Linked DNA regions of Struthio camelus. The protein of the gene in region 2 interacts with the protein of the main gene of each other region in a biochemical or structural test. Links are inferred from orthologs where the notes say so. Each region holds a gene or a part of one and is shown on either strand. Other genes may lie near its edges.

Region 1 (7,472 bases), on a different chromosome or scaffold from region 2:
AGGCGGCGGCGGTGGCGGCGTGACGTGGGGGGGAGTGGGGCCGCGGGCGGGGGGTGTGGGGAGGGGAGACGCGAGTGGGCGGTGTGGGTGAGGGCTGGGGGGGCACGGGCGTGGGGGGAGGACACGAGTGGGGGTGAGGAGGGGGCAGGTGAGGGGAAATGGCGGCCTGAGCGAGGGGGCGGAGGGAGATGTGGGGTGAGGGGGGCAGAGGGAGGCCGTGGGGCAGAGGTGTGGGGTAAGGGGGCACAGGGAGGCCGTGGGGCAGAGGTTTGGGGTAAGGGGGGTGAGGTGAGGGGGTACAGAGAGGCCATGGGGCGGTGGGGGGGTGTGGGGCAGAGGTTTGGGGTAAGGGGGGTGAGGAGGGGGCGCAGAGAGGCCGTGGCACAGAGGTTTGGGGTAAGGGGGGTGAGGAGGGGGCGCAGAGAGGCCGTGGCACAGAGGTTTGGGGTAAGGGGGGTGAGGAGGGGGCGCAGAGAGGCCGTGGCACAGAGGTTTGGGGTAAGGGGGGTGAGGAGGGGGCGCAGAGAGGCCGTGGGGCAGAGGTTTGGGGTAGGGGGGGTGAGGAGGGGGTGCAGAGAGGCCATGGGGCAGAGGTTTGGGGTAGGGGGGGTGAGGAGGGGGCGCAGAGAGGCCGTGGGGCAGAGGTTTGGGGTAGGGGGGGTGAGGAGGGGGCGCAGGGGCAGACACGAGGCCCCAGGCCGGGGTGCGCCCCAGAGGCCACGTCAGGGCTGGGGTGGCTCTGCGTTTTGCTGCGATTTGCTCACTTTTTCAGTATCCCGCCGTATCCTCCCCTGCCCCCCCACCCCTTGGGTTCAGGCAGTGGTTCCCAAACTGCGGCAGTGGTGACCCGCTTGGCTATTCCAGCTCCGCAGCTGCTGCCTCGATAATTGGGGCAGAAAGGGGTTTGCGTGGCTCGCGAGCGCTCTTTGGAGGCCGGAGGCTTTGGCAGCGGTAACCGTCGCTCGTGGGCGCGGGGGGCTGCGGCTGCTGCGGGATGGGGGTCTGCCCCCGCGCAGCTGTCCTGGCAACGGCCCCTTCCCTCCTCCTTCCCGCAAAGGGCACTTTAGGGAAAGTCGGGGATTGAGGAATGGTGTCGGGAGAAAGACACGCTGGGAAATGAGACGTGTTAACAAGTCACTGTGACTTGTGAAGGATAAGAAGCTTTGTATTTTGTGGCCTTTGTAACTGAAGATTTAGTTATATATATGTATTTTAACCTGGGCTCTTCTGTGCTGTTTATCTACTGTCCTACTTTTACGGAAGGACAGAGTTGGGTAAATTGTGCTTTGGCAACAGGAATTTAAATTCGTTGACTCCTCTTGGATACCCAGAACGTACCGTTTTGTCTGTGTTAGCGTAAATTCAGCGAGGGAAGGTCTGTGCTGTGGCGACCTTTGCTGGAAACGTGCGTGCATGTGTGTAGGGAGCTTTTCTTTAGCTGTCTTTAGCCAGGTTGCTGCTCTGCATTTATTAGTAGGCATCATAGGTGCTCTGGGAATAGAGTTTGCAAAGCATTTGGGAAGAGAAAAGCTCAAGTATATACTTGTGCATATGCATGTTTTGGAAGGGATAGGAGGCTATCTTTGTATTTCACCATAGATATATAAATCTGAAACAGTTCTTTCAAGCTGCTGGATAAACCATCCTTCTCTTGGAGCAACACTATCTACTTAGCAAGCATATGTGATTAAAACAAGTAACAAAAACTGTCAATAAACTCTAGATTTTGAAAAATAAAAGGATTTTAAAATCCTTGCTTCTCATTGTTAATGTTGTGGGTTTTTTGAGTTTGAAGACTGGAAGTAGGGGAAAAGCTTCTTTCTGTGTGTGTGTGTGTGTTGTGTTTTGCTTTGCTTTGCTTTGCTTCGTTTCACTTTCATTATTGTGGACTTCTGGGTAGAAATTTGACATTGAAAAATACTCTGACTTAGTCTGTATTGTGTTGATAGAATTGTTCTCACAAGGAATTAGGAGATTTAAACATCCAGTTGCAGATGGGAAAATGTTATGTGTAGTTCAGAGCTTTTGCAATAAAATAGGAATGCAGAAAAGGAGCTGCTTCTCCCCGCACTCTTGCTTTTCTGAATGAAGCTGACTTTTTTGAAGCTCCGTATCTAAGATACTTATCTGATAGAAATTTGCAGATTTATATTACTACTTTGAGAGTTCTACTCTAACCAGGTTACTTTGTTTTCCTTATGGTAAACACTGCACAATTACATTTTTTTTACTGTGTTACCCAAAGCATTACAGCTGGTTGCGTGAACCTAGGTGGTCAAGCGCTTCTGCTGTTGAGAAAAACAGAAATGTCCACAGGTGTATTTTCTCTTTTCCCAAAGTCTCTGCTTATTGTGTAATTCTCTTGTCAGTATTATTTTGAGATACCTGGAATTAAAAAGTCTCCTTTAAAAGAAAGTTACTTAAGATAGTGATCCTATCAATATATAGTAATTCAAGTTCGGTAATTTTCTATAGTGCTTCAATTTTATCTAAGAACTTACTATGACAACTTTTTTTCAGTGATGAAAATCAGTTGCTCTAACTTGACGTGTGTAGATATACCATTTCTTTTTTTAATCTCTGAAAAGTAGTGTAGAAATAAAGCTTATGTTGCTTGAATAAAGCAACTCATGGGGAATTATATATGTGCTTTTGTAGCTAATCGAGGCAAATGCATAGCTAAATCTTGGGGTGAGGTCTGTGATGGATCCTAGCTGCACGCACACAATACTGTGTTAAAGAAGCTTGCTTTGCTGCTTTTGTTTAACTAGTTCTTCTTTCAGTCTCCTCTAATTAGCTGCCATTTTTGGTTTTTTTTTTTTCATCAAAGACTTATAAATAAATCAGGAGTTCTGTAGAAAGGGATAAATATTTAATAGTCTGGCCTTTATTTGCTTTCCAACAAGCAATGGTACCTTGCAGCGCTTGTTTAGATGACATTACGTTTGCTAATTCGGAAGAATTCTTGTTTCTATGACCAGATTCCCCATGGAGAAGGGAAAACATGAAACTGAGAATACCCTTTGATACTTGTGAGCTTTTAAAATTTAACTTTTACTGTTTTGTAATTCTCAAGAAACAAATGTGTGTTTTTTATGATACCTAAAATTGTTGCACTTGTGGGTCTGACCTGTGGCAAAAACTCCCATACATCTGAAATTACACGCGTTTTAAGAGGATGTGTTACCAAGGTGGCACTCTTTACTGACAGGTGACAGAAGAACTATTTCCATAGGTGAAATCCAATGCAGGCAGAATCCAGTGAGCTGGCTGGACTTCGGTCCTTGAGTGGACAAAACCACCTTTCTGACTGAGATGGGCGATCGGTCATGGGTCCATCTAAGATTTTTCAAGTCAGCTATTTGTCTTCATGATATTAATACTTGTATGCTAAGAAGTGGATTAAAACAACCAAACTGAAGACCCATCAACTGAATATTTTTTGGTCACAGTTTGGATGGGATTCAGTTCAAACAGACTAGATAGTCCCAGCGGTTGTTTTGAGGTCAGATAGGGTGCACCTACCCAGTGTTTCAAATATAGAAACTGAAAATTGTGGTGATTAAGAATGATAAGATCTGAGCCTGTTGGAACACAGAAGCGTGTATTAGTTATGGAAGGGGAAATTAATGTGTATCCTGGTGGTTAGGGCAAAAGAAAAAGCCAAGGCATTAAAAAGATTCCAAGTTAGAGGATGAAATGAAGAGTAATGTAAATTGTCTTGGTGACCATGTAACCTGCTGTCTATAGTACAGGTAGCTGCAATTAAATTGTGTGTTTATCTACAAGCCGAATTCCTTATTTTATCTTGGTACTCTTATTGCACAACTCTTACGTTTATAAATCAGGATGTCTTTCTGAGTTTACTGAAGGTTTGTTAAAACTATCTGCAGTCATTTACGATAGCATTTCTCTTTTGCTCTTTAGGTAGTTTCTTTTAAATCCACCCTTGTGCTGAGGGTTATTGAATAGCTATAAATATATTTCTTTGCATAGTATTTTGATGTAATAGCTGGCTGGGACATTGAATGAAGTTCTCATTTGGTAAATTACTGCTGACATATGTTTCTGAGAGTTGCTTGCAAATGAGACCTCTAAACTAGGTCTTTTTTCCTGTTTGGCAGCACAGCACATGCTTTCATTTCAAAGTGAGGGCTAGTAATTGCCATTATAATTTCAGCTGAATTTTTAAGTTCTTCCTTCAAGTGTGCTTAGTCCTTGATACTTGTATGAATGTTTTTTTCCATTTTCCACTACCTTTCTTCTAATTAGATGTAATTGAGAAAATACAAAAGACATTATTTTATGATACTTACTGTTAGTTACTGTTGGATAATTTATTTCTCTACAGAAAAACTGTTCCTAAGCAGCTGAGAACTATTTTCTGATGCAGTTAATGATCTAGCTGAATCAGATACCTCCAGCAGGAGATGCTTATTCATTCTGCAGTTCTTGAAGGCCTAGCCCATGTTTGTAAAGGTGCTGAAAACTCTTTGAAGGGTAATATGGATGAGTTAAAATCATTTTAGTAGTATTACAGCAGGTGAGATCTATTTCTCCTTAGTTTTGCTGCCTGCGACAATATTGACAATGTCAGTGCAACTCTTCCGTCATTTTGAAGGATCTCCACTGAGGATCCCTGGGAGGGATGGCATTTTCCATAATGTAGGCATGTCCTGTTCTGTGAAATCTGCAGTTGCAGATGAATATGCTGACCAGAAGATAGGAGAGTTTGGTGGTGGTGTTGACGTGTAAGTCAGCTTTTGCAGTCATTTATGTAGAGAAGTTGCATTAAAATTACTGATTCTTACATACCTTCTCTCCTCCCCTTCCCTCCCCAGCTTCATGTTTCCTGTAGCAGGCGGTTTAGGCCCTCCTCAAGGTATGTATGAATTTCAGGTTCTGAGCACTAAGTTCTTTCCTTTGTTTAGATACATTATACAAAGTAATTTCTGTTCTGTGCTGATGCTCAGAAATGTGACTATTAAGTGAACTCAGCTGTTTTTCCGCTTCGATCCAGTACCTGTAAGCTGAATCTTGCAACATTATTTGTAAAACTTATTATATTTAACGTTGAAGAAGCGCTATTACCAGAATGCTAGATTAAAGATCTAGGAGTTAGAACTCCATTTTGAACCTGAATTTGCCTGTAAGATTTTTTTGTTATTTTGAACGTAGTATTTAACCTCTTTATGCTTCATCTACCAGCTCTGTATGCCCATGTTGTGTGGGTGTTGCAAGACCTGGTAAATATTTACAAAGCACAGCAAGACCCTGGGATAAGAGGCGCAACCTATGTGGAAAGTATTAATACAATAGGAGAGCCTCAGCCTTAAATTGCCTTTGTTCTCATTCCTGTTTCAGTGCTGTTTGTTTAATTAATGGAAAATGCGGAGAGAACTTGTAGGGGGAGGAGAGAATTTTCTGAAAAAACACCATTTCTCAGGGACTGATTTGTGGATCCTGCGTGTGTCATGTCACTCCTGGAGTGCTTTAACCTATGATATTAAGTTATGCACAGTTACAGTTATCTCAGAATACTGGTAACGCGTGTATTTTCTATTAGTATGTGTCCTCCAAGATAGCAAAAATGTGAGATGAGAAAATACTGAAACATAATCCATTTGGCTTTATTCAGTGAATTAATACGTTCCAGCTTGATTTGTCCAATTCTGTTAAAGTTTAGCTTTTACTGATAAATCTTTTAGGTAGTGGTCTAACTAATCTACTCAGCCAGCTTAGAATGTGAAAGTTTCATTGTGAAAACGATATGAGTTTATCTCCTGTATCAAAAGATACTAATTTATAAGTTCCCCTTTCAAGAGAAATGGGGAATTATCAATGCCTGTCAACCTGGTCAATTAAATCTCGTTACGGTTGGAAATGACCCTTCTGAAATAAGATGTGAAGAAACCCACAGAGAATCTGCAGGATGGTGGAGGGATTCATCAGCTTAGTTATTGGGGAAACCCCATAATATTTCTTCCATTAGACTGGCCAACACCTAACCTAAGGAAATTCTCTGCCTGCCTGCAGTGTTGTATGTTTTTTATTTATGAAACAGTCCAGCAAGACTGGGAGGTTTTTCCCTTCCTTTGCTGTATGGGTTTAATTGAAAAAACAAAATCAAAAAAGCAAACTGTAGCACTGTCGGGGAGCTTACCTCGTTTAATGTTTTGTTGTAGGGATGATTCCTATGCAACAGCAAGGATTTCCGATGGTTTCTGTCATGCAGTCCAATATGCCGGGCATGATGGGCATGAATTACGGTTCTCAGATGCCTCCGGGACCCATGACCATGCAGGTGTGTGACACTTGTTTATATGGATTGAAATGGCTGCTTTGATGTTCGTTTGAAAGGTGACAGCCGGTCCTGTAGCCCTCTCAACGGCAGTGGGGTAACAAGGGAGAACCTGGCTTGAAACTGAAGCAGGGATATTAGTGGGTATAAACTGAAGCAGGGCATCATATTTTGTAGTACTCTCTTTGAGTATATTTCTGATATTTAAAGAATTCTCTAAGCTTCATTGGGATCTGAGTAGAGAGAATGTGGGAGTTTGGCATACATTACTTACTGTTGTAGAAAGAGAGAAATGAGGGTGTAGTGCAAGGACAATATCAGTAACATTAAAAGCAACTTCGATGTTACAGTCTGCTCAAAGATAATAGGTCCTGACCTTTCATTTCTTATATGTGTTATTGCATCAAAGGCTGGTAACAGAAGGGTGGTCCCTCAGCAGCAACAGAAGCAAAAATATTAGTAAGATGCTGAAAAGCTATCAGATGCCACCTACTCCAAAGTATGGTTAGTAATAGTATTGAACTGTTAATTAGCTATTGTAATTCAAAACTCCCACAACATACTCCTCTGTCTTTTTACTTCTGCTTCATGCTTTCTCTTTTTTTTTTTTTGCTTTGCTTTTATATTAATTACATTCCTGCTCTTAAGGTGGTATATTGTGTAGTATTTTAAATGAGACCTTTATAAGCTGGTAAGAAGTTAACTATGTATACAATCTGATTGGTCATGACCAATTCACTGCATTTTGTTTTATCCCTTTGTAATGCCTATGCTGGCAGTAATAGAACTATGTTTTGTAAATGTAGGTGGCAATTCATAAACTTAAAAGAAAAATCCCTTGTTCCGAGGAGCAAGGAATCTCTTAATGTGCTATATTTTTTTCACTTGATCAGTTTTCACATTTATCCTGTTTCCTATGTTTTGTTATCATTTTTTTCTTGCTTAAATCAATTTCCTGTCTTTAACTCTTCTATTGCTAATTGCTACATATATATCAGCAAACCTTTCTAGTACAGATGCACTTTATACAGGCAAGTGTCTTCTTTTCTTCTGTCTTATACTATCTCCCTCCCTTGGACACCTAGATAATCTATGCTTGCAAAATGACTAGACCAAGTTTTGATAGCATCCGTTGTTGGTTAGGAGAGTGTACCTCCTGGACGGCATTTAA
Region 2 (7,053 bases):
TCATGCGTGTTGGAAAATAAGCAATAGTTTTGTCTTTTGCACTTTATGATGTCCTCCTTCAGAGCAGTTCCTAATTGTCCTGCTTTTATCAGACAAGAAGTGTGCAAGAGAGAGATGATTGCTCCTAGGAGGTAGTTCAGGTTGAACTGTCTGTACTAACTGCCTGTTAGCATATTACACAATTAAATGTAAAGTAGAGGTAGCCTCATAATGTAGTTATCATTTCATCAGCAGTATTTATTTATTCTTGAATTGCTTGCTTTCCTAAATGCTAGCTTCTGCTAACTTTCCTGTGGTTGTGATGTGAGGAGGAGAAATAATCTTTACAATGTGATTTGCTAATTGTTTGTTTTATGCAAGAGCATTTGTAAGTATAGGTTATGCATTTCTGTTCAGTTCAGTGAAATGGATTTCACCTTGGGGTGAAATCGTATTAGATCTCCAGCGTTTGCTTTCGTTTTACCTCTCCTGTCAGTGAGGTAGGAAGTCTTGCCTAAATGTCTGTGAAGGAAGAAGAATTAATATTCATAAAAAGCTGTGCTTAGAATATATGGTAACTTTGTTCAGTGCTGTTTCCCCTTGACTAAAGGGCAGTTTGTCCTTTTACTTTGTGTTGTCTAGGGCCAAGCTTAATTTAAAATGCTTAAGTCCTCTATGGGCGCATACCTACAGAATGAGTTTCAGGCATGTGGCCAGGAAAGCTATGCTGTTGTACAAGTCTCAGGCTGACGGTATCAGCGTTCAGCAGTTTATAATCTCTTCGAATACAGAATGGGAGCTAAAAGGATTTCTGATTTTAAAACAACTCCTTGCCAAACTTCAGTCTATTTGCAAACTATGCGTTAGAACTTTTCAAAAAGTTTGCAAAGAATTCTTTCCTTTAAAAAAAAAAAAAAAGTTTCAACTTGTAATAGCCCCTATCTAACTTTTCAGGAACATTAAAGATTTAGATCAACTTAACTAGACTGCAGAACCATAGCCTAAGTGTGGTTTACTGCCGGAGGGAGAACTTCACCCCAAATCTCCCAAAGCTGTAGTTTCTTGATGCCGCCTTTGTGTCGGCGCTAGCCAAACCGATCTGTCTGAAAACTGCTCTTTTTGGGAGGAAAGCGGCAAGCTGGTTTCCAGGTGGACAGGTTGCCTGAGCTGATACTCTGTGTCTCAGGAACGTGAATGTCAGTACAATGGGGGACAGAGTGAGACCACCTCTTTCAGCATTAGCCTGCACATAGGTCACCTTAGTGATTTTGAGACTGTTGCCTCAGACTGCAAAGGATTATTCTGGCAGTGGAGTGTTCTTACTTTGTTGTGGTTTAATTATTTTTTCCAAATTTTTCAGCAAGTGTTTGGGTGGACAAAACTGGTGGAGAAATGCATGGTGTGTACGTGTGAGGGCAGTCTGAACTTAATTATGAGCTCTGAGCTGGCCGTTGCCATCCAGGAATGAGATTTTGGATTTATGAAAGACTGTTCTATGAAAAACACAAGCCGAGCGCTTTGTAGCAATCGGAACCCCAAACTGATTGTTAGGAATGAATAGGAAGTAATGGGGGGAAAAGTAGAAGACGTTTATAGGACGTATAAAAACAATGGCGCCTCCATCTTTTAAATCCTGTCTGTAGTTTTACTTTCCCCCTTTCTTCCTCCCACCCCTTCAGAAAGGTCATAGGAGAACTGTAGGATGCACAGATAATGTAACAAAGATAACCTGGAGTCATGGACTGGAGAGAGTGAGCGGGAGACAAAAATGGAAAATACAAGATCATGAGTTTCACATAAAAGCTACATGGGGAATGACTGTTATTGTCTCTCCTAACAGAAGAATTGGAAGCATCAACAGAACCAAGCAGTTGGGAAAATACAGAGCAAGTGAAGGAGGTGGTTCTCCACAGTGTGCAATCAAGCTGGAACTCTGTTCTGCAGGATGTTGTTGATGCTAGAAGTTTACCTGGGTTCCAAACAGAACGAGGCAAATCTGGTGAAGATTTGATGCAATGTCTGGCTTTGGAAGTTCTTGAGCCACAAAATGTTGGAGACTGCAAGAGTATTCTGGGGAAGTGTTGCTAAGTGCTTGCCCTTGTTCTTATACTCTTCCCTAGGCTTCTGCTATTGGCCATTGTTGCAGACAGGATACTGAACAGGATGGAGCTTTGGTCTGACCTGGTATGGCCGTTATGTTTCTTTTGCTTTCTGCCACCTTTGGCTGTGCATTCAGTAAACACAGAGATATAGTTCCTTCTTAAGTTAGAAAATACTAGAGACGTTTCTAGTGAAGGGTGCCTAGAACATGTTCTTCATGTAAATTAGTAGAATGAGTTGACAGAAATGAGGGTTCAACTTGAATTAAGAATAGCTTTTGTAGGAGATTCATAAGACCAGATTTTATTTGTTTATTTATTTATAGCCTAGGTTCAACCACTTCTGATGTGATCATTTTAAAACAAACTTAAACTGGTGATGTTACAAGGATGCACAGAACTTGGGGGACTGTATCCTATCTTACTTCAGAATAGCCTCCCAGGTAGATAAACCCTGTGCCTTAAGTTTTATTCAGAGTTTCAGCTCTGAAGGCTCGCTCTAAGGATAGGCCTAGGCAGGCAAGTTACTGAGGAATGTGCTAGGGCGTAGTTGACAGCAGGTTAACGACTCTCCAGTAACAGCATACACTCTACTCTCTCTATCTCTTTTCACTAGGAATAAATTACCACAGAGTAAAGCAACACAACCAGGCAGCAACTGTGAAGCAAACATTGCACACTAAACCGACGCTCTAGCTTTCTCTGCAGTAATTAACTTTTACACAGTTACCTTAATTTTACATGCTGTTTAAAACCATGCTTTCATTTTTTTTAAGTTATTTTCAGATTTTTTTTTTAATATCTCTGCTAGTCTGAAATTTCTCAAGTAAGGCATTTGTCAGAGGCTTGTTGCAGGATTTTAGATAAGTCTATTTTGTCCTTTCAGGGTAGGAAAAGTATTTTATTATGGGTAGGTGAGAGGATATAGGGGGAGGGGGGAACCGATAGAATTAAACTGCCTTTTATTTGAAAAGCTTTGGAACCTTCATGGTTCTGGCTGAACCTATGCAAGTGGTAGGGGTTGTCCTTTTGTTTTGAGGATATATTGTGTTGTTTCTGTGAAAATCTTGTTCCAGTTTGGCCAAACAACGTTTGAAAAGTTGGTTTGTGCATGCTCCTTTGAGACTTGCACTTTAGAAGCTACAGCCTCCAGAGGCAGTGTCCAATAAACGTGTTCCAGTGCATAGCTCCCGATTCTCAGCAGGGTTTGTATGTTCGGTCTCTCGCGATCATAGAATTTTACCTTGCTGCTAGAAAGATGGTGCTCTAGGACTGTCGCTTGCAGTTGTTAGCTCAAGAGCAGAGCTCCGTGTTACCAGTCTAGGGAGTCACACCCAGCCAATGGTTTCCCCATGTACATATTGATATGATGCTGCCTGAAGAAAATCTTTCCAGTTTGCTTTCAAAAATTCAGAAATGTTGGGCAAGCATCATTGAAAGAACGTGACCGCAGCACTCAACGGCCTTTTTAATGCACGTTCAAATACTGTTCTGAAGACTGATTTCGTACTTTCCCTTGACCGTTTCTCTGATGCTCGTTAGTGCAGCATCTGAATGATTAGGAAGCACTAATTTATTTCATATCACAGTAATGTGAGGAACTGTTATTAACCTCATGTATGGAGAAGCGAGGCAAGACTAAGGACTAAAATAGCCAATAATCTTGATCCTTCACTTTGAGGCATCTTAGGGCAGAGTTTCCTTATGCTGAAAGAGCAACTCTTCATTTTCAAAATTGAATGTTTCTGCCAATTCAAGCTCTAGATATGAAGATGGGCAACTGGAATATGAGGCGCTACATAGTTTGACTGAAGTAACTTAATGTTATGTGTGAATTCTGTAGCAGATCAGGTTTATAATCCAGATCTGTAGAACAGCACTCAGCTGTTTTACTGTGAGGCCACCTTTACTCATTGTTTGTGTTTAATTTCTTTAGCAAACAAGTCCGCTACTAGCTCAGTATGCTTCTCAGCCTGCCTAGTCCCTCGTGCATTCCAATATACTGCGTCGTGTGTGCAAGTGATTCGTTGTGATACGGCAGCGCTTGAAATGTGTGAGACACTGATTTGGGAGAATGGTGACCCAGACAAAATCTGTAACAGACTGCCATGCTGAATAAGTTCTTGCAAGTTGGCAGGACATTTATGTGTCATCAGAATAGTTATCTTCAGTCTTGCATGCGTGAAAAAAGATTGTGAGGTACATGCATAGCCTGGTCTTCCTAAAAAGTCAAGAGACTGCTTTGGTGAGTATAAGAACTTGAATGCTCAACTGTTGGATATAATTCTTAAGTTTGACTTTTTTTAGAAAGCCATTTCTCTCTTGGGTATTCAAGAAAACAAATTGCTGTCTGGGTCAGACAGCTCAATCTGTGTTTCATCTGGTAAAATGAAACTGCTCAGAGTTCATGTAGGATAGACTTTCCTTTCACACAGTGCCACCAGATGATAATGTGAGGGGCTTATTTGTTTTAGAAAAGATTGTTCTGGCTGGTGTGTAATAAAGGGACAGTGTCAACTTGCCTTTTTTTTTTTCTTTCTTTCTTTCTTTTTTTAAAGAAGAGTCTCTGAAATGTATCCACACTGTCAGGATTGCTCTTGCAGTCTGCTTTTTTCTGCCTACTTTTATCCCTCTAAGAAAGAAGTGTGCATAGCACAAGGAGGCAGAATTTTTGAAGCATAGATATCAGAAACACCTCTCTGAAATTTTGTGTTCTTTATTAAGCAGCATTGATTTTTTTTCGTGAAGGATTTGCGTCCTAATTCATCAAGGTTTTGGGATCATCTCTATTTGAGCGTGACTTCTGGAGAAAGTCAGAAGATGTGAACGTGAGAACAGGCATTGCCAAGTTCCTTTCCTTCCCCTTTCAAGTGGGGAGTCATGTTATGTTCACTTGATAGCCAGCTCAGAGCATAGCAACTTCTGTCTGTAATGTTCTGTGAAAATGGAACAGCAAAGATGAGAACTTAAATTCCTGGGGTGTATAGAGAATTCCTCTGGTGTTCAAGTTTCATTTTAACCAAGCCCTGAAGCAGTCTATATTTTCTTGTTCCTTACATTTTTGTAATTGTGGGATAAGAAATAAATTTTCTTTATGCTAAAATATGAGGCAATTATGATGTCATCAGGTACAGTAGAGGGTTTACAGATCTTTCTTCCTCCCAGAGGATGCCAGCCCCTATCAGACTGCGGGAGCTGATCCGGACCATCCGGACAGCAAGAACCCAGGCAGAAGAGCGTGAGATGATCCAAAAGGAATGTGCTGCTATCCGATCATCCTTCAGAGAGGAAGATAACACGTACCGATGCAGAAATGTGGCAAAGCTGCTGTATATGCACATGCTGGGTTACCCCGCGCATTTTGGACAGGTAGGTCAGACTTTGGTGCTTGCTGTGTTATGTGCGCATGCCAGTCTGCTTTGTGTGTTTTGGGTACATTGCCTGGTTTAGAGCGTTATTAGCTGTAGTTTTGTTGTCTGCCGTTTGGGGGTCTGTCTTGACACGTTCTGAATCTGCATTAGTTTTTGACCATGTAAGTGGGATTTGCTATTTGAGATTTGTTCTTAGATAACTGTATGAGTTTCATAACAAAATATTCTGCTTTTGCCAGACTGTCTGCTCCTAACTGCCCATGTTTCTGCCGCGCCCAGTACATATGGGTATTTCTAGATGGGTTCAAAACAGCACTTCAGGGTTATGTCTCTGATGATGGAAATTGCAAGATGCTTCAGAGGAGGTTCTGTAACCACCACCTTCTACAGTAATTTGTTCTAGGCGGATAATAACTAGTCTATGCCCTGCTGTAAGACATTGCTGTTCCTTACCCCTATTTTAATGATGTGACCTGGTGAATGCTGGTTCCAGTTTTCTCAATCTCTTAGCTTATTTTTGGCACGTTATTCCTCCGGTAGACTATGGAAGAGGGAGACAGGAAAGATGAGAGTTCTTGATCTACAGAACATCTCTAAACATGTTTTTTGCTTTTGTACTCTGACTTAACTGGCATATCTGGTACATCAGAGGTCATGGAAGGTCAGCAGTGAATGTCTACTTCAAGATAAAGGAGCTGCTACTGGCTTTGCCCCGGCATTGCTACTGGCTTGCTGGGAGCTTCGGGCAGATCATTTAACCTTTGTTTGTTGTTTTTTCCCTATGACCAAAATGGGAAGAAAATATACTTTTTTTAGACACGTTCTCTGAGAGACCTAAGATGTGAACGTAAAAGTTCAAATCGCTTCTTCTTTAGTGAAGAAGTAATCTAAGCTAATTCTGTCCTTTTTATTTGTTTTCCAGTTGGAGTGCCTCAAGCTCATTGCCTCTCAGAAATTCACAGACAAGCGCATTGGGTATTTAGGTGCCATGTTGCTGCTGGATGAGCGACAGGATGTCCATCTTCTTATGACCAATTGCATCAAGAAGTAAGGGTGCCATCTCTTTCTCCATGAACACCTGTTTTGAGGTTTCAGGGTCTCAGAGTTTACTCCTGATGGTGATACTTTGAGTACTTCAGATTTTTTTCATTATGTTAGAATAATGGTATCTTCAATCTAGAAATCTACTGCTGTTGACTGTACAAGACTGTTTTAGTCTTGTGCTGCTTTGCATGATCCTATTCAGCTTCCTTAGAGGGAAGAGAATATAAAGTTGCATTGGTCCTGAATGCACATGGCAAACTACATTTGATGTAACCACTGTTTCAGAATGGTAATGTATATTTTCTGAAGGTCTGTTTAAGATGAATAAAATCAGGAAGCTGAAATAACCACAATAAGCTGCTCAGCCAGTGCAGAAAACCTCAAATTGCTGTGAAGAACTCTCTCCTAGTTCTGTAAAATAGTTACCTGCTAGCTTGCAGTAGGCAAAAGCCAGGCAAGGAATTAGTAATGCAGCATTATTGAAGATTCATCCACATTTTACATACGATTGAACTGGAAGATGTTTTTATAACACTGATAAAATGTTGTATGCTGGACAT
Region 3 (7,799 bases), on a different chromosome or scaffold from region 2:
GTATTTAATTCTAATCAAGGCACTTAAAATTGAAAAGAGGGGGAGTTATATTAGCAACTACTGAACAGTGAGGTTAAAAAGAGGGAGAATAAGATAGCTCACAGTATCTTGTCACATCTTAGAACAGTCTAAATCTAATACTCTATCATGTAGTCTTTCTAAATTTCAAAAAGGGCCATGATTTTATACTACAAATAACTACATCTTACGCAGAAAAGGATGCTGACCTATACTTAGAATTTCTACAAAATGCTACAATAAAAACAATAGTGATGATTCTAGTGCAGCAGAACCAGGGAGCAGAACTGACCTATTAAACTTGATTGCTCAGCTTCTGTCAAACTGAAGAAAGCAAGAATACTAAAAGTTTCAGTAATACTAACTACAAACTTGAATTCATTTCATACTTTGCAGTTATTTCTTAAAAATTTTAGGTTCTAAAACTTTGAAGGTTTTAATAGCTCACTTCACTTACATATTTTTAAAAAATGTAGAAACACTGTTTGTTCAAATAGCCCACAAAGATTAAGTAAGTTTACTTAAGTGACTTAATCACATATTATGGCTTTCTAAACTTTTGTACACTGAAGAATCTGATAATTGTTTAATACAGGTTCGCCAACTTGACACATCTCTGATCTAATCGAGCTGTCAGCCACCTAAAAGCTCAAGTAATGGCAAATTAAAAAAAACAGAGGAGGAAGTTGAAGTTCTATGATAAGCATCAGCTGAATATAGAACCAAGATGTAGAGTTAACACCACAACCACCACCCCTCTCCCAAACCATCAAAGTTTGAAATGTAAGGCTATTCGCATTTTCCAAAACCACTATTTAATCATATTTAAGAAGGACATTCTTACTAAAGTTCAAAATGTCCCTGCCACAGCATCTGCAGTTATTCAAAAGGAGGATAACATGGCACAGCCTCTTCTATAGAGAATTTTGTATCTCGTGGCCTTAAGACAGAAGACATTATGACAGATCTGTCCCAAACACAATGGGACTATTGATTTTGATGCCTCTAAATGCTATTCACTCTTCAAGTCTTAAAAAAAAAAAAAAAAAAACACTATACAGTCCTCTTCCCTTGTATAATGTTACTCCCTGAAATCGAAGACTATTCAGAAGTATTTTTCCATCATTTGAAAAGGTATGGTTAAATATATCGCACAACTTCTTGTGCTTGGTTTAAAAATTGAAAGCCTTTTCCGATACAGGTTTTGATGTACTGTTTGACTTAATAACTTATGAAATATCTTTAAAAGTAAATATTTTAAATATAATGATAAGGCGTAGCAATATTATATCAATCATTAACACTAACCAATTAAGATTACACAAGCAAAACTTAGAGAAGCTCGATTTCCCCGAAAATGTCCTTTTAGGTCCTGGAATTCAAGATGTGCCTGGGATCAGGGTTGTCCTACTACGTATAATTTGTAACATTATTAAAACTACCATCCTACTTAAGCAAGGGTTGACTTTTCCTGTAAGAAGTTGTTAACAATAAAAAGGTAAACAACTGTCTTGGGAGGAGTTTTATTCACAGTGGTTTTTAAATGTCATCTCTGACTCTCAGCCTACAGAAGTCTCAGTAAGGTATACTGCATTATAAGCTAAAGAAATATTTACTATCACAAATAAGTTACCATTTTCTCTCCAGTTTACCATCTTTAAACTCCACATAAAATATTAGTTTAAATACTCTTTGGGGAAATCGAAGTAAAATAAAGTTCAAAATGGGACTGCACTCTTGAAAGACTCACCTTGACTTCCAAGGCTAGGCACAACTATTAGATCATGTAATCTGATCTGGTAGGTATTCATCTACAGAACTTCAGCCAGTTATTCCTCTAAGAAGTCCACAAACTCATGGAAAAGTGTTTTGAATTTGCCCCTAAAGATTATTTAAGGAGGCAAAATATAATTTTTGTTCTCCATCGTATCAAAAGTTTTCTCACATCTTAAATTAAGAAGTGGTAGAGAAACAAAACAATAATGTCATGCTCTCACAGCACAACAGGGTGTTCACGATTATTATCGCCACTGTCAAGCTTACAGTGGGAGGAGGTTCTATTCAAGGAAATAAACCTGCAAACACCTGAACTATTTAAACGTTTAAGGGCTGGAATAGAGTATTTCACTCCTCTAACACACTCCACCTCTAAGAGGCCCAAGGGCAGTGAGTCAATGGCAGTTACAGCAGGGATCAGTCCTTAGGGAGGAAGAAAAAACTCAGAGAGAGAAAACAGTGACTTTGGAAGCACTCTGAAAACTGATCGCTGTACAGGTGGTTCCCAACTCCCCTCCTTCTTTCTAGTTCAATATTCTAGTTTCTTCCTAAGGGGCCCTGTGGCCATGACAGGAGCCGATCCGGCCGATTATAAGGGCTCATGTCCCAAAATGGGCACACACCCACCGGGACCCTGGCAGGGAAGGGTGTATCCAAAAGAAGAGGCGCAGCTTTCCAAGATCTGGCAGGGCCCAGAAGAACCAGAGCGAGAGGGGAAAGCCACCAGCCATAGTGGGAAGGCCACAGACTACCTGGAGGGCAGCCCTTGGCTGTCCGAGGGGCCAAAGCCGCGCCGGGTGGCCGAGCAGGGGCCGCGCGGGGCAGTCCCCCCGGCGAGAAGGGCAGGGGACGGGGCGCAGGGGGGCGAGGAAGGGGCATCAGCCGGGCGCCGAGGGGGCGTGAGGCGGCCGCCTCGGCAGAGGAAGGCAGCGGCCATGATGCGGGGGGGGGCCCGGGCCCCGCTGAGGGGGCTCGAGCCGCCCCGGCCCCCCGCCCCGCCCCGCCGTACTCACGCCTTGTCCACCAGCTCCCGCACTTTCCACATGTTGAGCATGGCGCTGACCGCGCGGAGACCTCCTCGGCCTCGCTGCTGCCCTCCTCCTCCTCCTCCTCCTCCTCCTCCTCTGCCGCCGCCGCCGGCCCCACGAGGCCCCGCTCACCGCGCTCCGGGCAGCCGCCGCGCCAGGCCCGCTCCGGCTCGTCGCCGCCTCTGCCAACTAAGGGACACGGCACGCACCCGGAAATGGAGGGACAGCTGCCGCGCGGCCTGATGGGATATGTAGTTTCCCCGCCGGCCGGGCGGAGAGGCCGGCCTGGCCTCGCAAAGCCTTCTGGGAGCCGACCGCCAGCCGGGCGCAGAGCCCGGTGGGAAGTTTAGTCCCCAGTGAAGAGCGCGCACTCTCCGCGCAAGGCCCCCTGGGAGTCGTAGTGCTGTGGCCTTCTCCGGGGGGCGCGGCGGCCGCCCGGCCCGGCCCGGCCCGGCCCGGCTGCTCGGGCCCAGTAAACACTTTTCCAGCCTGCGGTGGGACTGAGGTTTCTGTCCTCCGCGGCTTAGGCCGCAGCAGCCGCAGTCTGATCTGACCTACCGTTGCCCTGCGGCTCTGTCTAATGCCGGGTTAGCTTCTTGACTCACCGCCAACTTAGGCACCAGAGGGAGAGAGGTCTATGCAAATGGCTGGTTAAACCACAAAACACAGGCATAAAAGTCACGTCTGACTAGCATATGGTTTTATACCCCACTTTTATTACGAGGAACTCATTTAAAATTCTGTCTTTATGACTTCTTGTTTGCTGACCATGATGTACGAACAGCCTTCCGGGGCAGTGGGTAGACTCTGTGGAGGCCTCCGCAGGCCTGGCTGCAAGGAGCAGAGATGCCCAGCAGGAAGAAGCACGAAAGGGTGAAGTGTGTTGAAGGTAGTGAGGCCCGTCTGGGCATAACACGTGCAGGAACCTTGTCTGCTGAAGAAAGATCAAGTCAATTGAGAGAAAGCCAAAGAAGACTCATATGCATTAAAGCTGCCTCAGGAGAATAGTAACTGTTTTAATGTGCTTGTCAACAAGGGTTGCAAAACCATCTTCAAATGTTGCTTGCTTATGCAGGGTATTGAATAGGAATCACAACTCCCTGGATATAATGAAAACAGTGAAGCCAAGGAAGTGATTTTATAATCAAGATCGTGAGACAGTTTCATTATACATTTAGTTTTGTTATCTGTGTATCTATCAACTTGTTTTCAACATGAATTTTGAATGACTAGTCCTGAGGAATTTTTTTCTCAGAAGAGATGAAAGTCAGTCCGCTATCTCTTTGCAAGTTACAGGGCATGAACAGAGTGCCTGGATATTATGGTTAGTCTGTATTATATTCTTAAAGTATATTTCTTGCTTGTGTGGTAGGAGAATTACACTATTACAATTACACTTGTCAGCATACTTCAGAGAGCAAATTGTACGGGAGAGTTGTAATGTAATGCCTGTGCTTCATTTTAAGAAAATTACAGAAAACATACATGAATGTGTTTCGGCTAAAGACAACATATATCTGTAAACTTCTATCTTTCATTGTAGTTGTCTTTTCAAAATAGGCACAACAGCATTTGAAAGATCAGCTGCGACTTCCCTTAGTGGTCAAATTACAATGAGTTCTTCTGAAAATTAGTTGTTCTTTGAACTAATCAGGAAAAAGTGCAAAAGCAAACACCTGATCACCTGCCCACTTTCTGACATCCTGTTATATCTTTTTACGTAGGTACCCCCATGGTTTCTATCTTCCAAACATGTAAGAGCTGGTGAGTGTGGATGGATCAATCCCCAGGTATAGCTTTCTCATTTCCAGTTTTCTGTGGCTTAGGGATTTGGTGCCGGAGTATTGGTGCTAAAGCTTTGCATTTAAGATCACTTGATGGTTTTATGGTTTTATGAATTTAACTGATTGTTTTTTGAACCCATTTATTTTTTTATCTTACACAACGTCTTGTGGCAATGAATTCTACAACATAGCTATGAGTTGTGTAAAAAAATGCTTTCTTTCATATGTTTTAAACTGTCTGCTTAACAGTATTGCTAGTTCAAGTATTACGAGAATTAGTATACAATAATTCCGTGTTGCTCGTTTTCTTGACAGTTTTGGATTTTTAGGATAGGTCTTATGATATTTGCTACTATACTGTTCTTTCCACTGTGCCTAAGACTCTTATTATACTTAGTTTTCCCTTGTGCAGAAGTTGTGCGATATATTTAACCATACCTGTTTAGTTCTACTGTATCTGTTTTCAAACTGAAGGGGAGGAACTAGCACTACATGCAGTATTCAAGATACAGGTCACCCTAATGATATTTTCTCTTTTGTTACCAATTTCCCTCATAAGCATTCTTAACACGGTTTGCCATTTTGCATGCTACTGAACACCAAGCTGGAATTTTAGTTTGCAACAGAACAATTACGGTGGCTGTTTGTGGCTGTGGTAATTTTGTGTTTAACTGAACTCAGCACCAGTTTTGCTGTGCTCACTGTCCCCTCTGCCATGTGCCTTTCCATCATGGACCAGGAATGAGGAGGTCCTTAATTTCATATTGTAACCCCTGCCAAAGCAGGCAGGGTGAGGACCCTTGCTTTTTGTTATCTGCCCTTCATTTTTTTGCAAAAAGACTGAGGACATTGGTCTTCAGGAGTAGGAGGGAAGAAGAAGAGGAATTAAGTATTGCAACTGGAGCTAGCAAAAAAGCAAAGTTTCTGATTTGCTATTGTTATTTTGAAATCTGGCTTCACTCCATATTGGATTAAAATGAAAGTTCTAAATATATTTCTGATGATCTGCAAGTTCCTCAGATTCTTCTGCGGTGCAATGAAATTGATGTTCTTGTCAGTGTTGGCTTCTTTGAGCAACTGTAGGCCAGAGTCCTGAGCGCTGGAACAGACCTGCCATAAGTTGGCAGGTCTGATGGGCTGCAAAAGGCAGTTTCCAGGGTCCAGACTCTGGCCACGCTTGGCAGGTGCACATGCCCCGGAGGCAAATCCTCCCCTTCCTCTTCCTTTCTTCCCATCATGGTTAACATTTGGAATGAAACAGTTGGAGGTCAGTGAACCCTCAGGGTTTGATTGATTTGTTTTTTACCAATCTGTGTTTCCATCAGAAAAAATTAAGACTTGCTCTAATTATACATTTCAGAATAAGAGAATGAGTAGGGAGAGAGCATTTTAGGCATAGCAAAGTAACAGCATATGCAGAAGAAAGATAAAAAATAAAACTGGAATGTAAAAGCAGTTAAGATGAAGGTGCAGGTCTTTTAAGCATTACTAGCTATGTCTGGATGCAGTAATGGGGCAAGGAGAGATGAATGGCATTTATTGTCAATTTCAGGGTATAGTAAAAAGCAAGTCTTTATGTAAGATTGAATGCAACATGACTGACAGTAATTTTGCCATCCCCATTTTGTCAGCTGCTGATAAAAGTGCATGAGCATATGTATAATTTCTGAATGATGTGAAGACAACTTTCTGGTGCATAAGTAGTTGCTTTACAGAAAGATCTGATCAGTGTAGGTAGAGGGTAATGCAGTTTCAAAGCAATGCAATATTCAGCATAACAGGTAGTAGTTGTAACATATATCATGCAGAGGAACTGTATTTTATTATAATTCGAGCCATCAGTTACAGGACAAGCTGTTAGAGAAATTGAACTAATTTGAACACTGCAATAGAGTTTGCACCTGGATATTCCAGAAGTTAATATGGGCCATTTGGTGCACAAAAAGTCTTGCACATTCCAAATGCCTGGAGAGCAATATTGTTGTCAGTCTCAACCATATTAATGCCCGGCAGAGATATATCCAAATCAGTGATTAATTTACAATTAAAAGGAAAAAAAAAAAAAGAGGAGTCAAGAGAAAACGCATTAGGATCAGGGAACAGAAGCAGTGGCAGAGATTGAGACAAACTTTTCACTTAAAGCAACATTTGTTTTCCTGAGTTCATCAAGCTCCACTTTTTACCTGCTTACAGAGCTGAAATCTGAATTTTCTAAAATATATTTGTTTTAAGAATTGGTTCATAGTGCAGAAGAAACACTGAAATAATTTTCTCCATTTGTAGACCAGTTAGTGCCCCAAGCTTTTCTAAACAATCACAGTTCTCCAAATCCCAATCTCTGTATTTCTGTAATATATGCCATACACGCAAACTTATACACGTGCACTCCTATAAATGGTCTCTAGATGGGCTGTTTTGGAAAATGTCTCCCTGCTCTGCCACAGAACATTCTGCTTCTGGTAAGTAAAAGTGGCAAAACCCTCCAGTCACTTCCATGGTCCTCAGTCTGTTTGCAGAGGTTCTACCACTCATCACCTGAGCTCATTTCACACTCCTTAGCTCAAGGAGAGCGGCTTGGGGTACAGGCAGTAGTGGGGGATGTGAATGCTCCCTATGATAAGTATATGGAGAATAAAAAGGAAAATCTGGTAGTGATGTATACTGTTCCAGCTATATCCCTCCTAACGCTGGTCTTTTCACTCCTACTCTGAAGTGGTACATCCTTTCACCAGCAGCACTTTCATGCCCAGGACGTCTCATTCATTACAGAGGAATGTTCTAGGTAGCAAACTTCTTGAAAGTTTTCTAAGAGGTGAAAATGATCCTATTTTAAGCTTCAGAGCCAAGACTGCAAAAGCATATTATGCTTGCAGAAGACTGGAAGCGCAGTACAGAGGTGGTGATTTGTCTCAGAGGCTGGGAGGGCAACTTTGCCACTCAGACAGCCAACATAGCACTAGCACTTTTTTGCAAGAAGTCCCCACAGGTATTAACCTCAATATTAACCTCAGTCTGCATTCAGCCCTAGTGCTGTTGCCTTTCCTAGCCTGAAGAAAGGAATGCTGATTCCATATTGTGGGCATGTGGATTTCACTCTGCCCATCTCCTCACAGTCATTGAAACAGTAGAACCATTTCAGCTAGATTAGGCAAACGTGGTGACTTCTCAAAGTGCATTACAAATTTATGCAACA
Region 4 (7,474 bases), on a different chromosome or scaffold from region 2:
CTTGTGGCTGTAAAATGCATCAGTCTATCAATAAGCCTGCATCTGGCAAACTTCCAGCTGCATAAAACGTAAAGAGCACATGAAGCATATCCCGAGATGCATTACTAGTTAGACACATCTGCAGTTGTGATTCCTGAAACAGCTTGTGGTACCTAGTCCAGGGAAGTACTTTGAGATTTTTGATAAAAAATACCCTCTGTCCAAAGGGTCAAACTTTTGTACAATGATCTTCCTCATTTCTCAGAAGGGTTATTTCAATAAGCTAAGTGTGGTAAAATGCTGTATCAGGAGCACAGCTGGTCCTTGGCTTTCTGAAACCTGTGCGATGTAAGGCAATCTCTGCTCACCTGTGAGCCGGTCCCCTTGCATTTCCATCGCTTGATCACAGAATAATAATTCCTTTTATTCAGGATGTTTTGTGTTCATGCTTGTTGTTGTTGCTGTTCTGTCAAGCTCCCTATGGTTTAACCCTTCTGCTATTTAGATCCTTAATTCTGCATTTGTAATACTGGAGCTGCTAATCTGCTTTGCACTGAAATTCCCAAAAGCTGAGTAAGTCGTTTCATGACTAGGTATGCAGGAGGCAGGAGTGAGCCGTTGCTCTAATCAGCCTCTTGATTGTTCATGGGCTGTAATAATGCTTTTCCTAGAACAAGCAGGACGAGTCACACTAAATACCTAAGTGTTGTCCAGGAAAAAATAATGGGCTTCCTGTGTGCCAATCCATGATGTAAACCAAACTATAATAAAGAAAGGCACGGACACTTAAGATACTATTTCTGGGGAGACCAGTGGATCTGTTTAAAAAGTTACTAACTTTACTGAGGCCATTTGGTGAACATAAGAGATGCATAAAACACTGGGGACATTAGTGTCTGATTCTCACTTGTGCAAGGCCTTTCTACACTGTCTTGATATAGCACAGGTTTCAAATCCAAGCAAACTATTACAGCAAGTCATTTATGCAGTATCCTGCAACGGGGATTTGCGCTGATACAGTTACGCTATTGCTGTCGTAGCTGCGCTGGTGCAAGCTACATACCCCATCTTTCCTTGCTATGCCAAGAGATTGTTATTGTAAATAATAAATAGATAATAAAATCAAACCTGCTAATGGTTTTGGGTGGGTTCTAGTAGCCCTAGTGGTTCTCCTGGCAGAAAATAATCTGTTATAGGTTACTCATTTCAAAGTAGGAACCCTCTTTTTTGACCCTATGTCAGGAGATAAAATTTCTATTCCAGCCTAGAAGCAGATGGCTATCTCCTTCTGGAAGCTGTCATGCCAGATTCCTATAAATCTACAGTACAACACTTCATTGTCAGCAGGCTGACAACTGTTGTAATTAGAGGCCATGAGATGTCTGAGTCCATGGGCTAGCTGTTTTATCTCAGGTGGTTGGCGGCATCCAGGACAATACTGTCTGCTGGAGACACAGAACACCCAGCAACGACAAAGACCTATCTGAACGCACCAATCCAGTGTTGAATGAATGGGACTCATTATTTTAATAGGCAGAGACCACAAAGATTACCTCAAGTGATCCTCGCGCTCTGACTCTGGACACAGTGCCCACGTACATAATGTCCATGTGTTCTTCAAGACTGTCCATCCATCCCTTAGACGAGCCAAGCACGCTATCCGCATGGCCGGGGTGTGAAGGTTGAAGGTAACCACTTATCAATAACCACCTATCTGGCGCTGCCACGACGGTATCTGAGGCCCTACACAATGCCTGTTAGTTCCCAGCTACCACTGACTAAGCAGCAACCTCAACTCAGTCCGCTGGTGCTGACCAGGAGAGCTCAAAAGCAGTATGAGAAACGCTCTTCGGCTTGCTAGACCACTGTGCTCTTTACAGTCTGAGGGAGCAGGACTAGGGGTTGCCTCCTCTGCCAGGAACCCTGACTGCTGGTATCTCTGCCTAGCCCTGATATCAAGACTCTCAACTTTCCTTTCTCCCTGCCTTTTCCAAGCCCTTCAAACATTTTCCCTTTTCTTTATTTATCTCATTTCTCACTTCAGAACCTCTTCTCCTTGTTGCCATGAAAGTCAGCAGTTTGGCCTCCCAGGCAGTATATGCTTAAGTCTTTCATAGTAAATACCTTATTACCAAAAAAAAAAAAAAAAAACCATCAAAACTGTTTTATCTTGCAGTCACAGGAGGAGAAGTCACTTTACTCTGGGAGTTGTCTGCCACCGCCTCAGTATATACTGAAATAACGTGGCCATCCCATTCTGCTCAGAAGGGACAGGGGACATTTAGTCATATTTCAGGTGAAGCTGCCCTGCATGAAGGACTCTGTTGGCAGAGCTGAGCTTCCTTTCAATCTCCAGCCTTCCTGCACAACCTACTCTACAGTCCCTGCCAAACTTTATTCAATAGCCCGGCTGCAACTATGGGTCTAGTCATGGACTAGGTGGGAGACTCAGTACCCAGCATAAGAGAAAGGGCCGACATCTGCCGAGTCTGATAGCCTGCCCACAAAATCCTGCTCACAACAGCCCTCAACAACATCTAACTGCAGAGCCAGGTCCGGTTACTCGTTTTGCATTTTCCTTCCATTTGCAATGACATGCAGTCTGGCATAACTTTTCTTCTCCTAAGAGGCTGTGAGTCTGCTACCAGATCCCTTCTCCTCACCCAGGGAGAGGAGATGGAGAGAAGGGGAAACCAACTGGTGGAGCAAAAGGCACCCACCAGAGTTCATGGCAATTGGTAGAAAATCAACCCCTTCAAATGTCTCCTGAGGGGCTCCCTCCCAAATGCTAACAGGACCAAATATTGCTGTCCCCAGGAGACACAGCTGTGGTTTTACCATCTCCTGGTTTAATTTCCATATATTAATTATTGTGGGATAGCAATTTTCCATGTTTAATCGAAGAAGAAAAAAATCAACCTAGAAAGATAATAGCCTGTGAAATTTTACATAGGAGGAGTTGAGTGGGAGGTGGCGTGGAGGTGTGACAGTGATAAATATGTGAATGGTGTAAATGTTTTTATATCTATACTGTTGTTTGTTTTTTATATTCTTCCTCTCTCTCAGTGTCTGCTTTTTCTTGCTGAAGCTATGACTGAGAAACAGGGGAGTAAAGCAGAGGTTTTGTAAAACCTTTATGAGAGGATGGGTGCGAAGGAGGGAGCCTGCATGTTTCGTGACAGATGAGAAATAGCAGTTAGTCATGACTGCCAGCTGAGGAAAGGCAGGATGCAGAGGTGGGGCACGAGCACTAGGATAAGCATGAAACTGAACTGAAGAGGGAAAAACGCAGAACAGTAGAGAATTAAGAAGAAAGAAAAAACACATATTGTGAAACCTTTCCAATAAACAAGTATGATTCCTGTTTATTTCCTTTTATCAGCCTGAATGTGTATTTCAAGTTTAAATTGATGCCTGATCCATCTTTGCCTAAGTTAAAAAAAAAAGGGGGGAAATGTTTTCCCTCCACCCTCACGGAGTGAGCTATGACTTGGTAGAGCAAAGAGATCAGAAAAGTAGTTCAAACAGGCAGCGTGCGGCCGTGAGCAGGTACCGCAAAAGTAGCCCGTGCTCTCTTGTTCCCTGGCTCTGTTGTGGCAAGGGGAGATTTACTTGGGGGGAGCTGAGCGCCACGAGGGAGAAAAATAGAAAAAAAATAAATCATGATAAAAGCAGGAAAATAAAAGCGGTGACATGCATATCCCTTTCTGCCATTTTGTACACAGTTGTTTCCCACGGGTTAGGAGAACGCAGGGCAGTTTGCTTTCCACTCCAGCTCGCTCCTCCTTTTCCTTCTGCCTGCATTTTCTCCCCATTTCCTAAGGGTTGTTTGCCCCCTTTTCTGCTTTTCTGTCCTCCATCTAGCCCACTATTCCCTTTATGCTCCACCGAACGCAAACCTTCTCACAGAGAGACGGATATACATGAGCAGCAGTCACCTAAGCGGGTATAGCATCCATATACTCATTTCCTGTGAGCGGAGAGGTCGGGGAGAGGCAACAGGCCCAAATCCAGGCTGACCTTCATTGTTGATGAGCCAGGAAAGGACATGTCAGCTCAGCACGTCCTGTTGGACTCGCGTGCCGTTTCCTCCTGGGCTGTGCTCCCCATCCTGCTGCAATCCCAGACCTGATGCAGCTCCTGCTTGGGACTTCCCCCATCTGTGGGGTCCTGAACCAGAGCCTCGTAACAGTTCAAAGTGCTTGAAGCCCCTGCTGCTAAATATACGGGGCAGAAACAGGGCCAAGAGGGAAGGTAAAAGAAAGGCTAGGAACTGGGAACTGATGGAGACTTCACTGCAGGATATTTACCACTATAAGGCAGGTCCGATCCGAATCAGGCCACAGCTCCGGCTCCGGGTTTTTGTTGCAGCTGCCTAGAGCAGGCTCCGGCTCCGGCGAGTAGGGCCCGGCGCCCGGTTTTGCTCTCGGCTCCGGCTGCCGTGTGCGGGCGGAGGGAGGTTCCGGCTCCGGCCGGTCGGCGGGCGGGAATCCAGTGCCGGGTTTTGGCCGGGGCCAGCTGGGGAAGTTGCCGAAGTTGGGCCGTGAGTGCGGCGGCTGCGGCGCGTCCTTCCTGCTGCCCGGCCGGTGCATGATGGAAGCAGCATGGCCGCCCACCTCTCCCTGACACAGGTACCTCCCGCCGGCTTCCGCGTCGCCACCGCGCTCCCCGCTCTTCCCTGCCGCTCGTCTTCCCGCTGCCGGCGGGCTCCGAGGCCTGCAGCGTGACTGGGGGTGGGGAAGGAGACAGGACGGGACCGGAGCGGGGCCTGGGGCTGACCCCGGCCCCGTCGCGCCGTGGTGGGTGGCGAGGCCGCCTCACGCCGCCCCTCAGCGCTGCCCGGCCGCGCTAACGGCCGCCGGCGCTGTCAGGTGGCGGCGGGGGGAGGGGCGCGTGGCTGAGGCGGGCGGGCGCCGCTGAGCCCGGGAGGCTCCGAGGAGCAGCGCGGAGGGGGCGCCGCAAGCGGGAAACGAGATCCCGGCCGGCTGCGGGTGCCTTTGCCCCGGCAGCGGGGGGATAAACCTGCCGCGCCGGAGCCTCCCCCTCGGCGGGCAGCGCGGCCCTTGGGGCGGGCAGCGCCGCCGCCGCAGCCCGCGGAGCTCCGCGCTGCGCCTGCTGTCATCGCAGCTCGTCTTTTGTCTGGTAGGAAGGCGAAGGCGCCTGGCATTTAAAAAAAAAAAAAAAAAGGGCAGAAAACCGCCCTGTAGGTTTTGAAGGCAGGTGGTAAACTCGGAGGCGAAGGAAGTGCTCGCTGAGGGCTTGAGCAGGGTAGTTCTGGGTTTGGTAACTGTGCCCTGGTGTCTGTGCATGGACCCGCTAGTCCAGCTTCTGTCTTCGGTAGTGTGCTTGAGATATTTAAGTGACCGTATAGGAACGGAAAAGATTTTTGTAGCTTTTTGGAGGTAGTAGCATCTGCATATTAGTGGACAGGCAAGGAGATGAGCTTGGAAGAGAGGGCTTCATCTCTTGTCTTAGCAGTAACCTAACTCCAAAGGTACCATTATTCAGAAGGAACAGCTTGGAAGTCGTTCCCCCCCCCCCTTTTTTTTTTTTTAATTTGCTGCACTGCATGGTGTAGGGATGCCTTTTTGCATACTAGCTGTACAGATGCCTAATGGCAAAGGACTTAGATCGTGGTCTTAAAACTTGGAGAAGGTTAGTACCATTCAGTGTTCAGGTCAACTCACTTTGACTAAGTCTTATTGCTTGTATTTTTTTTTTCCTGGTGATACTATTCCTGATGATATTGCTTCATACAAGCGGTGCTATGCTGTCAGAAATATCTCTTATTCCTTAGAGCTCTGATAGCAATAAGCTGTGCAGTTTTGGTACTTCTTTGTTTCGTTTATCAGTAACATGAGAAACTTGCATTCCTCCATGACATAAGTCTGAGGAAGGCCTGTCAGTGCCCCCACTCTTTTCATGCCTCAGTCTGCTAGTCAGTTACCTCCTTTATATAAAAATAAGGACTAGTAAATAAATTTGATTAATATTTAAGCACATATAAGTAAAATAAAAAGTTGGTAGTAAGACTGCTCGTTTTGTAGTTATTCCTACGTGTAGCTGACTGTTGAGGAAACCCTCAGCTGTTCCATGGAAACGCGGGACAGTGCGGTGAAAATCAGAAGCTCACCTATGTTGAGGAACTAAAAATGTTTTTAAAGGTCTAAAGAAATACAGTTATAAAGTATAGCACACTGTGAAAGCTTGCTTTGGTGTTCCAAAGTGTGAGGTTGGCCTTTTCTGTTTCTCTTTTTTCGAAAGTTTTCTAGCAAAAGGGAAAAAAAAAAAACTTCTTACTGAAGAGGAAAAAAAGCCTTCTTAAACCAGTAACCTTAATTCAATATGTTTGAAGGCATGGAGTATTCTGGCTCTTTTGGGGGGGACGGGAGAAATATCTGCTACAGCACATTATGCAGTAAGACATTATTGCTTACAAGCTTTTTTTGATCACATGGGGGAAAAAAAAAACTGTGAACAGAAATGTGATAATGTTGACAGAAGCAGAAGAATCACCAGTGTCCTTAAAACTGTCATTACTACAAGTTAAGCTATTAGTTAAACTAAGAAAGTTATTTCTGTTGTTATTGAACATTTCTATTTTTTGGCATTGAAAAGTAGCTTTGGGTTTATTTGATTTTTCTCAGATGAGTGTTTCTTCATTGTGGGTTTTAATTTCTGGAATTTTGGTGTTATGAGAAAATAGTAACAAATCATAAGTGTCTGAGTCAGTTTAGATACAGTGAGAGAGGTGAAAATGGTAATAATTGTGCTTGGGAGAGTGGATAAGATTACTAGCTGCAGTTAGATCAATAACAGGGACCAGCCAGAAAAAGTAGGCAGATTGTTACATTCTGCTGTGGACCATGTGCAGGGAATAAGAGGCATATTTGGCTGTAGTCAAGTCAAAATTGTCTCATTTTTTTTTCCTTTTCCTTTGTTTGGTTTTGACTGTAATTTAACACAACTAGGAAGTAGAGTGTTTCCAAAATGAGACGAGGGTATTTTCAGATGGTTTTGCAGCTGCAGTATCTGAGAGGGCTAGACATCCTTTATTTGAATATTGTAGCGCTGTTTAAGTTACATGAAACTTTTTAGTGCTAGATGGTAGATTGCATTTTGTTGGCTGATAAGCACAAATATTTCAGGACTGTGTAATTGTAATGGAGTATGTTACAGTGAGTATGCTTGAAACGTGTTGCAAAATGAAAGTGATTATTCCCCCCCACTCCCATTTAGTAATAATCTGAAGTGTCTTGTTCTCTCCACCTTGAGCCTATTCTGCAACATCTTGTTGCCACTTGCATTTGTTCAGTAAGTATTACAGTCTGGGTATAACTGTGAATTGAATATGAAACTTCTAAGAAAACTTCTACCAAGGAAATGTTTTGTTGTGGTTGCCTTTAGTTGGGAAGCAAGCTAGCAGAATCAATGAGAAGGAACTGTTTATATCTGGAATATTGTGTCATTTGTTGTTGGAAAACTCAAATTAAGC

What was found.
Region 1: the proteins of AP1G1 (region 2) and SYNRG form a complex in vitro, tested with the Homo sapiens proteins (2 studies listed by BioGRID). The link is inferred for Struthio camelus from reciprocal best matches to the Homo sapiens genes AP1G1 and SYNRG.
Region 3: the proteins of AP1G1 (region 2) and CLINT1 form a complex in vitro, tested with the Homo sapiens proteins (2 studies listed by BioGRID). The link is inferred for Struthio camelus from reciprocal best matches to the Homo sapiens genes AP1G1 and CLINT1.
Region 4: the proteins of AP1G1 (region 2) and EPS15 form a complex in vitro, tested with the Homo sapiens proteins (2 studies listed by BioGRID). The link is inferred for Struthio camelus from reciprocal best matches to the Homo sapiens genes AP1G1 and EPS15.

The regions. Positions count from the first base shown.
Region 1 is NC_090957.1:20,416,195-20,423,666, reverse strand, and holds the start of SYNRG (synergin gamma), read left to right. Parts: upstream 1-4,455; 5' UTR 4,456-4,590; coding exon 4,591-4,751; intron 4,752-4,841; coding exon 4,842-4,882; intron 4,883-6,185; coding exon 6,186-6,304; intron 6,305-7,472. UniProt on the Homo sapiens protein: Plays a role in endocytosis and/or membrane trafficking at the trans-Golgi network (TGN). May act by linking the adapter protein complex AP-1 to other proteins. Component of clathrin-coated vesicles.
Region 2 is NC_090951.1:429,104-436,156, reverse strand, and holds the start of AP1G1 (AP-1 complex subunit gamma-1), read left to right. Parts: upstream 1-4,040; 5' UTR 4,041-4,281; coding exon 4,282-4,323; intron 4,324-5,243; coding exon 5,244-5,447; intron 5,448-6,371; coding exon 6,372-6,496; intron 6,497-7,053. UniProt on the Homo sapiens protein: Subunit of clathrin-associated adaptor protein complex 1 that plays a role in protein sorting in the late-Golgi/trans-Golgi network (TGN) and/or endosomes.
Region 3 is NC_090954.1:11,009,446-11,017,244, reverse strand, and holds the start of CLINT1 (clathrin interactor 1), read right to left. Parts: upstream 3,014-7,799; 5' UTR 2,849-3,013; coding exon 2,808-2,848; intron 2,016-2,807; exon of another isoform or gene 1,769-2,015; intron 1-1,768. UniProt on the Homo sapiens protein: Binds to membranes enriched in phosphatidylinositol 4,5-bisphosphate (PtdIns(4,5)P2). May have a role in transport via clathrin-coated vesicles from the trans-Golgi network to endosomes. Stimulates clathrin assembly.
Region 4 is NC_090949.1:31,182,818-31,190,291, reverse strand, and holds the start of EPS15 (epidermal growth factor receptor substrate 15), read left to right. Parts: upstream 1-4,468; 5' UTR 4,469-4,583; coding exon 4,584-4,610; intron 4,611-7,474. UniProt on the Homo sapiens protein: Involved in cell growth regulation. May be involved in the regulation of mitogenic signals and control of cell proliferation. Involved in the internalization of ligand-inducible receptors of the receptor tyrosine kinase (RTK) type, in particular EGFR.